Ovis aries: one gene and its partners. The protein of the gene in region 1 purifies or fractionates together with the protein of each later gene. This does not show direct contact. Links are inferred from orthologs where the notes say so. Each region holds a gene or a part of one and is shown on either strand. Other genes may lie near its edges.

Evidence for each region.
Region 2: the proteins of SHCBP1 (region 1) and RACGAP1 purify together in Homo sapiens (affinity purification with mass spectrometry; 8 studies listed by BioGRID and IntAct, counting the BioPlex papers as one, with this or other methods). This does not show direct contact. The link is inferred for Ovis aries from reciprocal best matches to the Homo sapiens genes SHCBP1 and RACGAP1.
Region 3: the proteins of SHCBP1 (region 1) and KIF23 purify together in Homo sapiens (affinity purification with western blotting; 9 studies listed by BioGRID and IntAct, with this or other methods). This does not show direct contact. The link is inferred for Ovis aries from reciprocal best matches to the Homo sapiens genes SHCBP1 and KIF23.

What each region holds. Positions count from the first base shown.
Region 1 is NC_056067.1:14,454,266-14,457,915, reverse strand, and holds part of SHCBP1 (SHC SH2 domain-binding protein 1), read left to right. Parts: intron 1-1,438; coding exon 1,439-1,606; intron 1,607-1,774; coding exon 1,775-1,890; intron 1,891-3,305; coding exon 3,306-3,514; intron 3,515-3,650. UniProt on the Homo sapiens protein: May play a role in signaling pathways governing cellular proliferation, cell growth and differentiation. May be a component of a novel signaling pathway downstream of Shc. Acts as a positive regulator of FGF signaling in neural progenitor cells.
Region 2 is NC_056056.1:136,282,267-136,286,438, forward strand, and holds the start of RACGAP1 (rac GTPase-activating protein 1), read left to right. Parts: upstream 1-1,310; 5' UTR 1,311-1,849; exon of another isoform or gene 1,850-4,172.
Region 3 is NC_056060.1:16,318,243-16,321,892, forward strand, and holds part of KIF23 (kinesin-like protein KIF23), read left to right. Parts: intron 1-3,299; coding exon 3,300-3,379; intron 3,380-3,473; coding exon 3,474-3,593; intron 3,594-3,650.

The DNA of each region.
Region 1 (3,650 bases):
CAGACGCTTTACCATCTGAACTACCAGGGGAGTCCATTGGCAGGTCGATATAAACCCCCTGCCTTAAGCCCTATGAGGTCACCGTGGAACTGCAGCACAGGGCTCCTCACTTGATTTGTGTGGGGCATGTCATTCATTCACACAAGCACACTGTAGAGTTAGTAAATTATAGCAGAAAACATGGTCGCTAGGAGAACAAAGAACTAGAGCAAGCATCCTTGCCATGTCCTAAAGAATCCCCGACGGGCCCCCAAGATAAAAGGTTGCTGCTGAACCACAAAAGACGCCTGGATTCTTGGCCTCTGGAGGAGAATTCAATCTGGGGCCAGTGACGAGGCTTGATCGCTCAGAGCTTTTGTGTAATAAAGTTTTATTAAAGTATAAAAGAGATAGATGTTACACATTATTAAGAGTGCATATCCGTGTTTATTGAGTGGTATTGACAGGTGATATTGTAGAAATTAAAGGGAAGTTTCAATTTGTCTTGAGATGATATGTCGGAAACCACCTCTACATTTAATACAGCTTTATGGAATTTTTTTTTTTTTAATGATTGTAGGATATTTGACCATTATGAGTTGCTTTGCTGTTGTTATTCAGTCCCTCAGTTGTGTCTGACTCTTTGCAACCTCATGGACTGCAGTACACCAGGCTTTCCCCTTCTCCCAGAGCTTGCTCAAACTCATGTCCATTGATGCCATCCAACCGTCTCATCCTCCATCATCCCCTTCTCCTGCCTTCAGTCTTCCCCAGCATCAGGGTGTTTTCCAGTGAGTCGGCTCTTCCCATCACATGGCCAAAGTACTGGAGCTTCACCTTCAGCGTCAGTCCTTCAGTGAATATTCAGGGTTGATTTCCTTTAGAATCGGCTAGTTTGGTCTCCTTGCTGTCCAAGGGACTCTCGAGAGTCTTCTCAAGTGCCGCAGTTCAAAGATATCAATTCTGCGCTCAGCCTTTTTTCTTGTCCAGCTCTCACATCCAGACATGACTACTGAAAAAACCACTTAACTATATGGACCTTTGTAGGCAAGTAATATATCTGCTTTTTAATACATTGCCTAGGTTTGTCATTGTTTTTCTTCCTCTATAGCTCTAGTAATAATCATAGCTATATCTTCTGAAGGAGAACTTGGGTGATTTCCACTGAATTAAAAAACAACCCTCTTTCTTTGCCTCACAGAACAGCAACAAAAACCTAACCCATGGAAGATTTTAAGTTCTTAACTGTTCTGAAGTAAAACTTGAGTTTTGAGATATTTTTAAATTTAGAAAAAAAAAATTTTTTTTGATAGTGATAGAGGTAAGTAAAGCATTGTATCCAAATCCTTGTTTATATTTTATTTGAAATTTCTAAGCAAATATATGAAAATAGAAGCGGTTGATAGGCATTCGAGGTGTCTGGGATAGTTGCACCTGACTGTTTTTGTTGCTCTCTTAGGTTTGTTTGAAAATGAAGATTCATGCAGTGATTGTAGTGATCATGCTAAACCAGGTAGTAGCTTACAAAGCTTTGTGCCAGAAGGAAAAACTCATTTCCCAGAAATGTTCCAGACAAGTCAACTTTTGTTCTATGAGCGATTCAGAGCTTATCAAGATTACATTTTAGGTGAGTAGGTCCTTTTTTTTTGCTTCTTTTATCTTTTAATTTACAGGTAAATTGTCTCAGTTCCTCAGACTGCCATTGCTGGTTCTGAGAAAGTAGACTTACAAGGATTTATTAACCTCTCTCTGCTTTACGCTGTCTCAATTCTTATTGTGTTTAATTTGTTTGTAGCTGACTGCAAGGCCTCTGAGGTAAAAGAATTCACAGCTGAGTTCTTAGAGAAGGTCCTCGAACCATCTGGATGGCGGGCAGTCTGGCACACTAATGTGTTTGAGGTGCTAGTTGAGGTAAATTTAATTCTGTTGTTAAGACATTTATCTCTACCTAAAAACACTTTCCCTCAGACTGTTGTAACCTAAGTGCTTATTTTTAATTAAGATTTATGAGCTGATTGAAAATGGCGTGTCTTTTCACACCTAATTGCTGTGGTGTAAGAAGTGTTCTGCAAATTTTAAAGGCAACTGAAGAGGGAATTGGGGTGGTTTAAGTTTCACCGTCCTTTAAAAAAGGGAAATGGACGAGAAACCTATGAAGTGGGGGAGGTATTTGAGACCATTTAAAAAATAAGATGCCTAATTATAAAGTCAGTGGGGTTTGAATTAGTTTTTTATAAAGTCAGTGGGGTTTGAATTAATTTTTTATCTTCTTAGTTATAGCCCATTAAAGTAGCTCAAACCAAGTAGGCATTTTAAAACTAGCCTATTTTTTGCCTAACAGATTTGTAGGTATATAGTTAATCTATTGATATTATGTTCCACTGCAGAAAGTAAAAACAGTCTTATTTTTCAACTGGCTGGGCCTTTTACATTAAATTTGCACTCTACTTAGAGCTGTGAATTTTTCTCAGTGTTTGTTAACTGAACCACAAAAAAAAAAAACCCCATTAAACTAAAATGGTAAACCACGGAGTGTGTGTACAGCTTGTATCTGCAGCCCCTTTAGAAAATGACATCACATCCTACAGTGACTGTATATGAGGCAGTGGTTTGCAAGCAGCTGCTGCTCATGGATGTTTAAATTTTGGATTATGCTAATACCTTTGGTTGCAGTTCAGGCCATTAAGTTGATTATGATAGTAACGCCCTCCCCTCAACATACCTCAGTTCTCTAAAAGCAGCCAAAATCATTATTTTAGAAGAGAAATGTGCCATTCCCCTGCATTCCTCTAATGCATCGCATATACTAGAGGTCTGGTTTTGGCTTTCTGGCCTCTCATCGTTGGATAACATGTAAAAGCCAAGCTCCTTCAGTGCCCTTCCTGTCCTGATCTTGCCTCTCTTGTCCCCTCCTGCTGCCCCTACCTCATTTCCTTCCTTTTGTTCCAGCAAGAAAAACTGCTTCTCTGCTCTTCAGCTGCCAACCTCATCTCTGCCTCAGGGCCTTTTCATCTTTCCTCCTCTTGAAACAGCTGCTTCCTTTTCATCCCAGCTCAAAAGAGACTTCCCCAACCCTTCCAGTAAAACCAGACCACCACTCCTGCTACTTATTCTTTGTCACATACTTGTTGCCACCTTATTTGTCACTTTGATTACAATGTCAGCTCCATGTGGGTACAAGCCAGGTCTGTTCTGTTTGTCCTTATGTATGGAAGAAGGCTCTCCACTCCCATTTCATGCTTTAAAAAAGAAATCAGGCTGTAAATAGTGTTTTAGATGTATCTTAATTTTCATTTGTGTATGTTAAGTCACATTTTAAATTTCAGGTCACAGATGTAGACTTCACAGCTTTGAAGGCAGTGGTGAGGCTTGCCGATCCGTACCTCTGTGAATCGCAAGTGAGCGCTTTTACTTTGGAGTGTATGAAAGAACTCCTTGATCTGAAGGAATACCGGTTGCCCCTGCAGGAGCTGTGGGTGGTGTTTGATGATTCTGGATTATTTGACCAGACAGCACTTGCAATTGAGCATGTCAGGTAGGAATAGAGGTTGATAAAAGTAACCTTGTGGCCAAAAACTTTGGATGAAATGCTGTAATTCTGGTCTGTATTATACCTAGATTTAAAGCTCAAACTGTAAATCTGGTCACTGCAGATGTCTATTAAAATATTC
Region 2 (4,172 bases), on another chromosome or scaffold:
GTTTGTGACATTGTACAGGAGACAGGGATCATGACCATCCCCATGGAAAATAAATGCAAAAAAGCAAAATGGCTGTCTGGGGAGGGCTTACAAATAGCTGTGAAAAGAAGAGAAGCGAAAAGCAAAGGAGAAAAGGAAAGATATAAGCATCTGAATGAGAGTTCCAAAGAATAGCAAGAAGAGATAAGAAAGCCTTCTTCAGTGATCAATGCAAAGAAATGGAGGAAAACAACAGAATGGGAAAGACTAGAGATCTCTTCAAGAAAATTAGAGATACCAAGGGAACATTTCATGCAAAGAGGGGCTCAATAAAGGACAGAAATGGTATGGACTTTATTTTGGGGGGGGGGGCTCCAAAATCACTGCAGATGGTGACTGCAGCCATGAAATTAAAAGATGCTTACTCCTTGGAAGAAAAGTTATGACTAATCTAGACAGCATATTCAAAAGCAGAGACATTACTTTGCCAACAAAGGTCCGCCTAGTCAAAGCTATGGTTTTTCCAGCAGTCATGTATGGATGTGAGAGTTGGACTATAAAGAAAGCTGAGCACCAAAGAATTTATGGCTTTTGAATTGTGTTGCTGGAGAAGACTCTTGAGAGTCCCTTGGAGTGCAAGAATATCCAACCAATCCATTCTAAAGGAAATCAGTCCTGAATATTCATTGGAACGACTGATGCTGAAGCTGAAACTCCAATACTTTGGCCACCTGATGCGAGCTGACTCATTTGAAAAGGCCCTGATGCTGGGAAAGATTGAAGGTGGGAGGAAAAGGGGACAACAGAGGATGAGACGGTTGGATGGCATCACCGACTCCATGGACATGAATCTGAGTAAACTCCGGGAGTTGGTGATGGACAGGGAGGCCTGGAGAGCTGCAGCCCATGGGGTCGCAAAGTGTCGACTGCGGGACTGAACTGAACTGAACTGTCAGCTCAGTAAATCTTCCGGAATTCTTCCTATTCAATGGAGAGATGATCAGTTAAGAATTTCCAAAAGTCCTATTTCCGGGTCTGGGGAAAACAGGCCCAGAATAATTTGCCCTCAAAAAGACTCATTTGCCCTTAGTCAACATGGTATCTTCAATGCCTTCAAGAAACGGCTCCGGAGGGAGTGGGGGGAAGGGAGAAAGAAACCCCAAAAACTGGTGACCTTAGTCAAGATGGGTGCCTTTGGCCTCGCTCTATCAGAATGCGCATGCCCGTTCTTGTCCCCGCCCTTCTCCGTTGCCCTGGCCGTGCGTCAGAGCGTAGGGGGGCGGGGGGGAAACACCGCGGGAGGAATAAATTTCTCTGTGATTGGTTGGTGCAGATTTCAAACCTGGCCTGGCGGCGGGGTGCTGGTCCGCCGTTGGGTGAGACGCGGAGGGGAGTAGAAAGCTGCCCGGGTGGGGTCAGGCGGACCCGACAAGGTGGGTGCTGGGGGTTGCGAGAAGAGGTGTTTCTGGCGCTGGGTTTTTTGTGGGAGGGAGGCGTCCCTGGTAGTGAGCTGTGGCCTCCACGAGGTCGGGGTAGGGGGAGGCCGGCACCTACAGCTCCTCCTCCGCGGCCCTCCTCGGGGGCCGCGGGGCGCGGGCTGCCTGAGCGGGCTTTGCTTAGGGAGTGGGGGGGTTTCTTTCGTGGCGCCATGTTTTGTGGAAAGCCGGGGGCGTCTTTTTGAGATGGTGACTTCAGCAGGGCAGAAGCTACCCCAAAGAAATGGCTTTCACTTAAAGACAGAAAGTAGGTGGGGTAGCAAGACTTTTTCGAGGGTTCTTTTCGGAGGGACAAAACTTTTTCAAAGGGAAAAGCCCTGATGTTCTGGAGGCCGAGGCGGCTTGGAGTGGAGCCCCTCTTTCTAGTGGGCTGTGTGAGTCTCGGGAAATGATGACATTTGCCTTTCTCATTAAAATCTCAGCCTTAGAAACACAAGGCCTTACTTTGTCCTTTCACATACATCCCTGTTCATCTCTCAACAGAGGGAGTCTATAGGTGGGAATGTATAGGATTGTGGGGTGGGTGGGAAGATAAGCTTTTTTTTTTTTTTAACAAACGTCATCGTACTCTAATGTGGTGGGTGAGCTTTCGAGTTATTGAAAGTGTTTAGAGAATACGCCTTTCCTGTAGGTTAATCATTCAACAGGTATTCAGTGCCAAATTAAGTACAAGACAGTCTTGGCTTTAAATGAGCTTGCAACTTATTTGTGCTAATAGAACTTAGAAAGATAACTGTGGTGAATCTAGTAGGCCTTTACACTTGAGAATACTGTACGTTAGTCCGGCCCTTTTAGAAAATATTTTGGCACCATTTATCAAGAGTCATAAGAGATTTTTTTTACCGTCTGACTTGGTACTCCAAGCCTTGGAAATGCATTTTTAAGGAACATGGCCACTTGAAGAAAAACACTCTCCGTAGTGATGTTCAGCTTATTCGTTCATTGAATATTTTGTCATCATTTGCCAAATGTCAGGCATTGTTCTAGGCACCAGGAGCTCATCAGTGAACAAAAATCTGTGCCTTCTTGGAAGTTAAACTATTGGGGAGACAAACAATAAACCAAATAAGTCAGTTAATATGTAAATATGTTAGATGTGGATAAATGCTTTTGAGCAGGAGTTAAAGCAGGAGTTTGGGGGGAAAGATGCAATTTGAAAGAGTGGTTAACAATGGGACAATGTTTTTTTTAATTGAAGTATAGTTGATTGACAGTGTTGTGTTAGTTTCTGGTTTACAGCAAAGTGATTCATGTTCTTTTTCATATTTTTCTCCATTACGGATTTTCTCCATCATGAATTATTACAGGTCCTGGTATACAGTAGCACTTTGTTGTTTGTCTGTTTTATGTATAGTAGTTTGTATCTGCTAATCCCAACTCCTAATTTATCCCACCTCCTTTCGTTTTTGGTTGCCATAAGTTGGTTTTCCATTTCTGTTTCATAAATAAGTTAATTTGTGCTGTGTTTTAGATTCTACATATGAGCAATGTCATGGTGTTTGTCTTTCTCTTTCACTTCACTTAGTATGATAATCTCTAGGTCCATCCATGTTGCTGCAAATGGCATCATTTCATTCAGGGCTGAGTAGTATTCTACTGTGTGTGTATATATATATGTGTACATATGTGTATATATATACACATGCACATGCCCCTTCTTTATCCATTCATCTGTTGATGGGCATTTAGGTCGTGTCCATGTCTTAGCTGTTGTAAATAGTGCTGCTGTGAACATTGGGGTACATATATTTTTCAAGCCATTGTTTTTTTTCTGGATATATGCCCAGGAGTGGGATTACCAAATCATATAGCAAGTCTGTTTTTAGTTTTTCAGGACCTTCCATACTGTTTTTTCCATAGTGGTTGCTCCAATTTATAATCCTGCCAACAGCGCAGGAAGGTTCCCTTTTCTCCATACCCTCTCTAGCATTTGTTATTTGCACACTTTTAAATTATGGCCATTCTGACTTGTGTGAGGTGGTACCTCATTGTGATTTTGAGATGCATTTCTCTAATAATTACTGATGTTGAACATCTTTTTATGTGCTTATGGGCCATCTGTATGAGTAAATGACATTTGAATAAATACCTGAAGAAAGTGAGGGAGTGACCATAAAAGTAGAGGTAAACAGAATTACCTAAATGTTCAAGGAAGAGAACAGTTAAATAAATGTGCATCAACTTCTTGCAACTTAATGGAAATATGGTAGAAAAAAGTAAGACAATATATAAATCTGAATGCAGTTCTATGAAATATGATGCATAATGGGCAAAGATTACTTAGGGAGGTGCATATAGTTCAGGGTGGTGAGGTTTTAGTTTCACCATTAAAAAAATGTTACTTTTTTCTGAACAGAGAAAACTAACAGTATGAGGCAGTGTTTTATGTCTGCCAGATGAGTGTTTTAGATAATAAAGAGGTTGTTTTGTACTAAAATGATTACAGAACGTTTTCCATAAGTTGATAATACTTATATTAGACCCTGAAGAATGGAACACTTTGGAATGGAAGGAATTTACAGAAGAAATAAATAAAAGGAGAACTTAGTATAATGAACTGGTAATGATTTTATGAAAAATAATAATTTGTCTCATTCTGCTTTTTTTGGGGGGCCGTACTGCACGGCCTTGTGGGATCCTAGCTCCCCCACCAGGATAGGTGGGCCTTATGCAGTGAAAGTGCAGACAGAGCCCTAA
Region 3 (3,650 bases), on another chromosome or scaffold:
GAAGGATTAGTTTTAAAGAGATTTTCCCACTGTTGTAAATTAATTTATCAGAGGCAAGTCTAGAGAGATGAAAACCAGTTGGGAACCTTTTGCAGTAATTCAGATGAGCAGTCCTGTCACCTGGAGGCAAAGGTCAGCCAAAACTAAGAGGTAGTTTGGAAGCAGACCCACCTGGATGTGGAGAGGAAGGAAGATGCTGCTGCTAAGTCGCTTCAGTTGTGTCTGACTCTGTGTGACACCACAGACGGCAGCCCACCAGGCTCCCCTGTCCCTGGGATTCTCCAGGCAAGAACACTGGAGTGGGTTGCCATTTCCTTCTCCAGTGCATGAAAGTGAAAAGTGGAAGGAAGAGAGGAGGATAAATCAAAGAAAACCTTAATTAAGGAGTAGTCTGAGGTGCAGGTGTGGGCAGCTAAGAGTTGTATGTTGAACATATTCAATTTATTCAAGTGTAGGTGTCTAGCAATTGGATACAGAAGTAGATAGATATGGAAGGAGAGAGATTTGACTTGAGGTTTATAGGTTTAGGTTTTGCTAGTGAAGACATGATTGAAGCAATGGGGAAGAAAAGATTATTCATGGAGTACAAAGAGGAACACTGAGGGCAGGGCCTCGAGGACAACAGATCCTTGAGTCTGGGAAGGAGAGTAGGGGGTAATAGCCAGGTGACTTGGAGTTACAGAAGGACTGAACACACACTTTTTTTTGTTTTTTGCTGTGCTGAGCCTTTGTTGCTGCCATGGTTTCTCTGGTTGCAGTGAGGGGGTCTACTCTCCAGTTGCAGCATGCAGGCTTCTCACTGGTGGCCTCCGTTGTTGAGAAGCAGGGGCTCTAGAGCACACGGGCTTCAGTAGTTGCAGCTCAGCAGCTGTGGCGTGCTGGCTTAGCTGTTCTGCGTGCGTGTTCAGTCAAGTCTGATTCTTTGTGACCTGGCGGACTGTAGCCCACCAGGCTCCTCTGTCCATGGGATTTTCCAGGCAAGAATCATGGAGTGTGTAGCCATTCCCTTCTCCAGGGGATCTTCCCAACCCAGGGACTGAACCTGCATCTCTTGTGTCTCCTGCATTGGCAGGCAAATTCCTTACCACCGAGCCACTTAGGAAGCTCCAGGCTTCGTTGCCCAGGACTAACAGCACACACGCATTATATACGTCTATATGAAAAGACAAAGCATCCAGAATCCAGATCACAAGAGGAAGGATTGACCTTGGGAAAGCAGGTTTAGCTTTGGGGACAGGAACAGAAGCTGTATCAGTGTTGACATGATGGGGAAGAGCTGACACAGTTAGGGAGTTAAAACTAGACTGGGGATGGTTTGTGGCTGGGGCACACGACAATCTCAGGTTTCCAGAGGTTTCGGAGTTCTGAGTGACAAGGTTTAGGGCATGGCTATAATGCTAAAGAGAGAAAGATTTCCTGGACTTGTGGCCTGGGCCCTCTGATGGCATGTTAGAGTGACCTTCCTGTTAGATGCTGAAGTTGACCCAGGAGCTGGCATGTAAGGGGAATGTGTCTTTGAAGAACAGCAGCAAGGGACTAGGAAAATGCGGCTGGCCGCCTGCTGCTCACCATCCTTTCAGTATGTCAGGCTTTTAGAAAGCAGGCAGCTTTTTTCACAAGGCTGCAGGAGAAGCTCCACTCTTCTAGGAAATAAAAACAAGGCTGTAGGGTTTTGCATCATGGGTGGGGTGAAGCCTGTGGATATGATTCACAGTATTTTAGAATGTATAGCATAAAATACAGGATTACAGAAGAAAGCAATTAGACTGAAATGTGTTTTTTAAAGTAATCTTAAAACCTTTGTCATACAGTAATTTATGTACTTTCTTAATGCCTTAAACCTGATAGCATGTCTATGACTACATAATTTCAAAGTAGTAATGAATATAAGTATCTTGAGATAAGCAATAAACTGTTATAAAAGTTATCTGTGACTTCTGTTGATTAAACACCACAAATACTACTACTACCATTATTATACGTGTTTGGTCTACATTCATAATTGAAGAAACAGCTAAATTTCAGAGGCTAGTAAGAAAAAAGATGCATTTACTTCCCAACCACGTATGCACACTCCCTGAAGTGTACCCGTGGACAACATCCAGATCACAGGTGGCCATTAGAGAGAGATGGAACGGATCATTCTGTGAGAGGTCTGAGGGTATGGCAAGTCTGTTAGCAAGGATGTGGGTTTCGAAGAACACGTGGAGGAACGGAGGAAGGACAGTGCGAGCGGGGGTCAAGGAAGAGAAGCATGAATCATGGAGTACCATGGAGGCACAGATGAGCTCTGTATTTGAAAGGGGGCCACGAATGAAAGCATGGCTTCAAAATGAACAAACTCTTCTGTGTTGTAATACTTTTGGGGTCTCTGCAGGTGACATCTCCTGTATCATTGGCTTGATAGACCTGTCAGACTTGCCCTAACTCAGAAATTCAAACGAGTGGCCAGGACTAACAAGCATGCTGCCTAAGAAACCTTCTTTAGATATAGAGGGAACAGATTTAGTTGGCTCTTGAGACACCTGACTGGTAGAAACAGGAGCTCCTTCTGGTGTAAGGGAGACATTGATGTCCGGATGGAGCCAACTGTAGCCTGAAATATGGGCATGATTAGTGCCAAAGAATTGATGCTTTTGAACTGTGGTGTTGGAGAAGACTCTTGAGAGTCCCTTGGACTGCAAGGAGATCCAACCAGTCCATTCTGAAGGAGATCAGCCCTGGGATTTCTTTGGAAGGAATGATGCTAAAGCAGAAACTCCAGTACTTTGGCCACCGCACGCGAAGAGTTGACTCATTGGAAAAGACCCTGATGCTGGGAGGGATTGGGGGCAGGAGGAGAAGCAGGGTGACAGAGGATGAGATTGCTGGATGGCATCACCGACTCGATGGACGTGAGTCTGAGTAAACTCTGGGAGTTGGTGATGGACAGGGAGGCCTGGCGTGCTGCGGCTCATGGGGTGGCAAAGAGTCGGACACGACTGAGTGGCTGAACTGAACTGAAACGTCTGTACTCAATATACTCTTTCATGGTATTTAAGATTTGAAAGAAATCTTACGGGTCATGAAGTATAATATTACATTCAGTGGAAAGTCTTTACATAAAAAAATCCCAGTACTCACACTCTACTGCAACATTGCCAGATATGGACAGTTCTTTAAGCTGAGCCCACTAAAATCTGTCATCTGTAATTTCCATCTAAGAGTTCTATGAAGTAGATATTTCACAGACAGACAGACCATGCTCTAGCTACTCCATTGGTGTCTTCAAATGACTTCTGTGTACTTTTTTCTGTCAGGTAACATTAACCAGTCACTAATGACACTGAGAACATGTATGGAGGTCCTGAGAGAGAACCAAACTTACGGTACTAACAAGGTGAGCAGCAGTTTGTATACAAGTTTGTATACTTGTATAGTTTTGTTTGTGTGCAGTTTCTACCTGATGTATTTGGGTTTGGATATGTTTATAGATGGTTCCATATCGAGATTCAAAGTTAACCCATCTGTTCAAGAACTACTTTGATGGGGAAGGGAAAGTACGCCTGATCGTGTGTGTGAATCCAAAGGCCGAAGATTATGAAGAAAGCTTGGTAATTTTAATGCCTTTATGGAATCTGAGTTTCTGTACAGAAAACCATTTACATGTG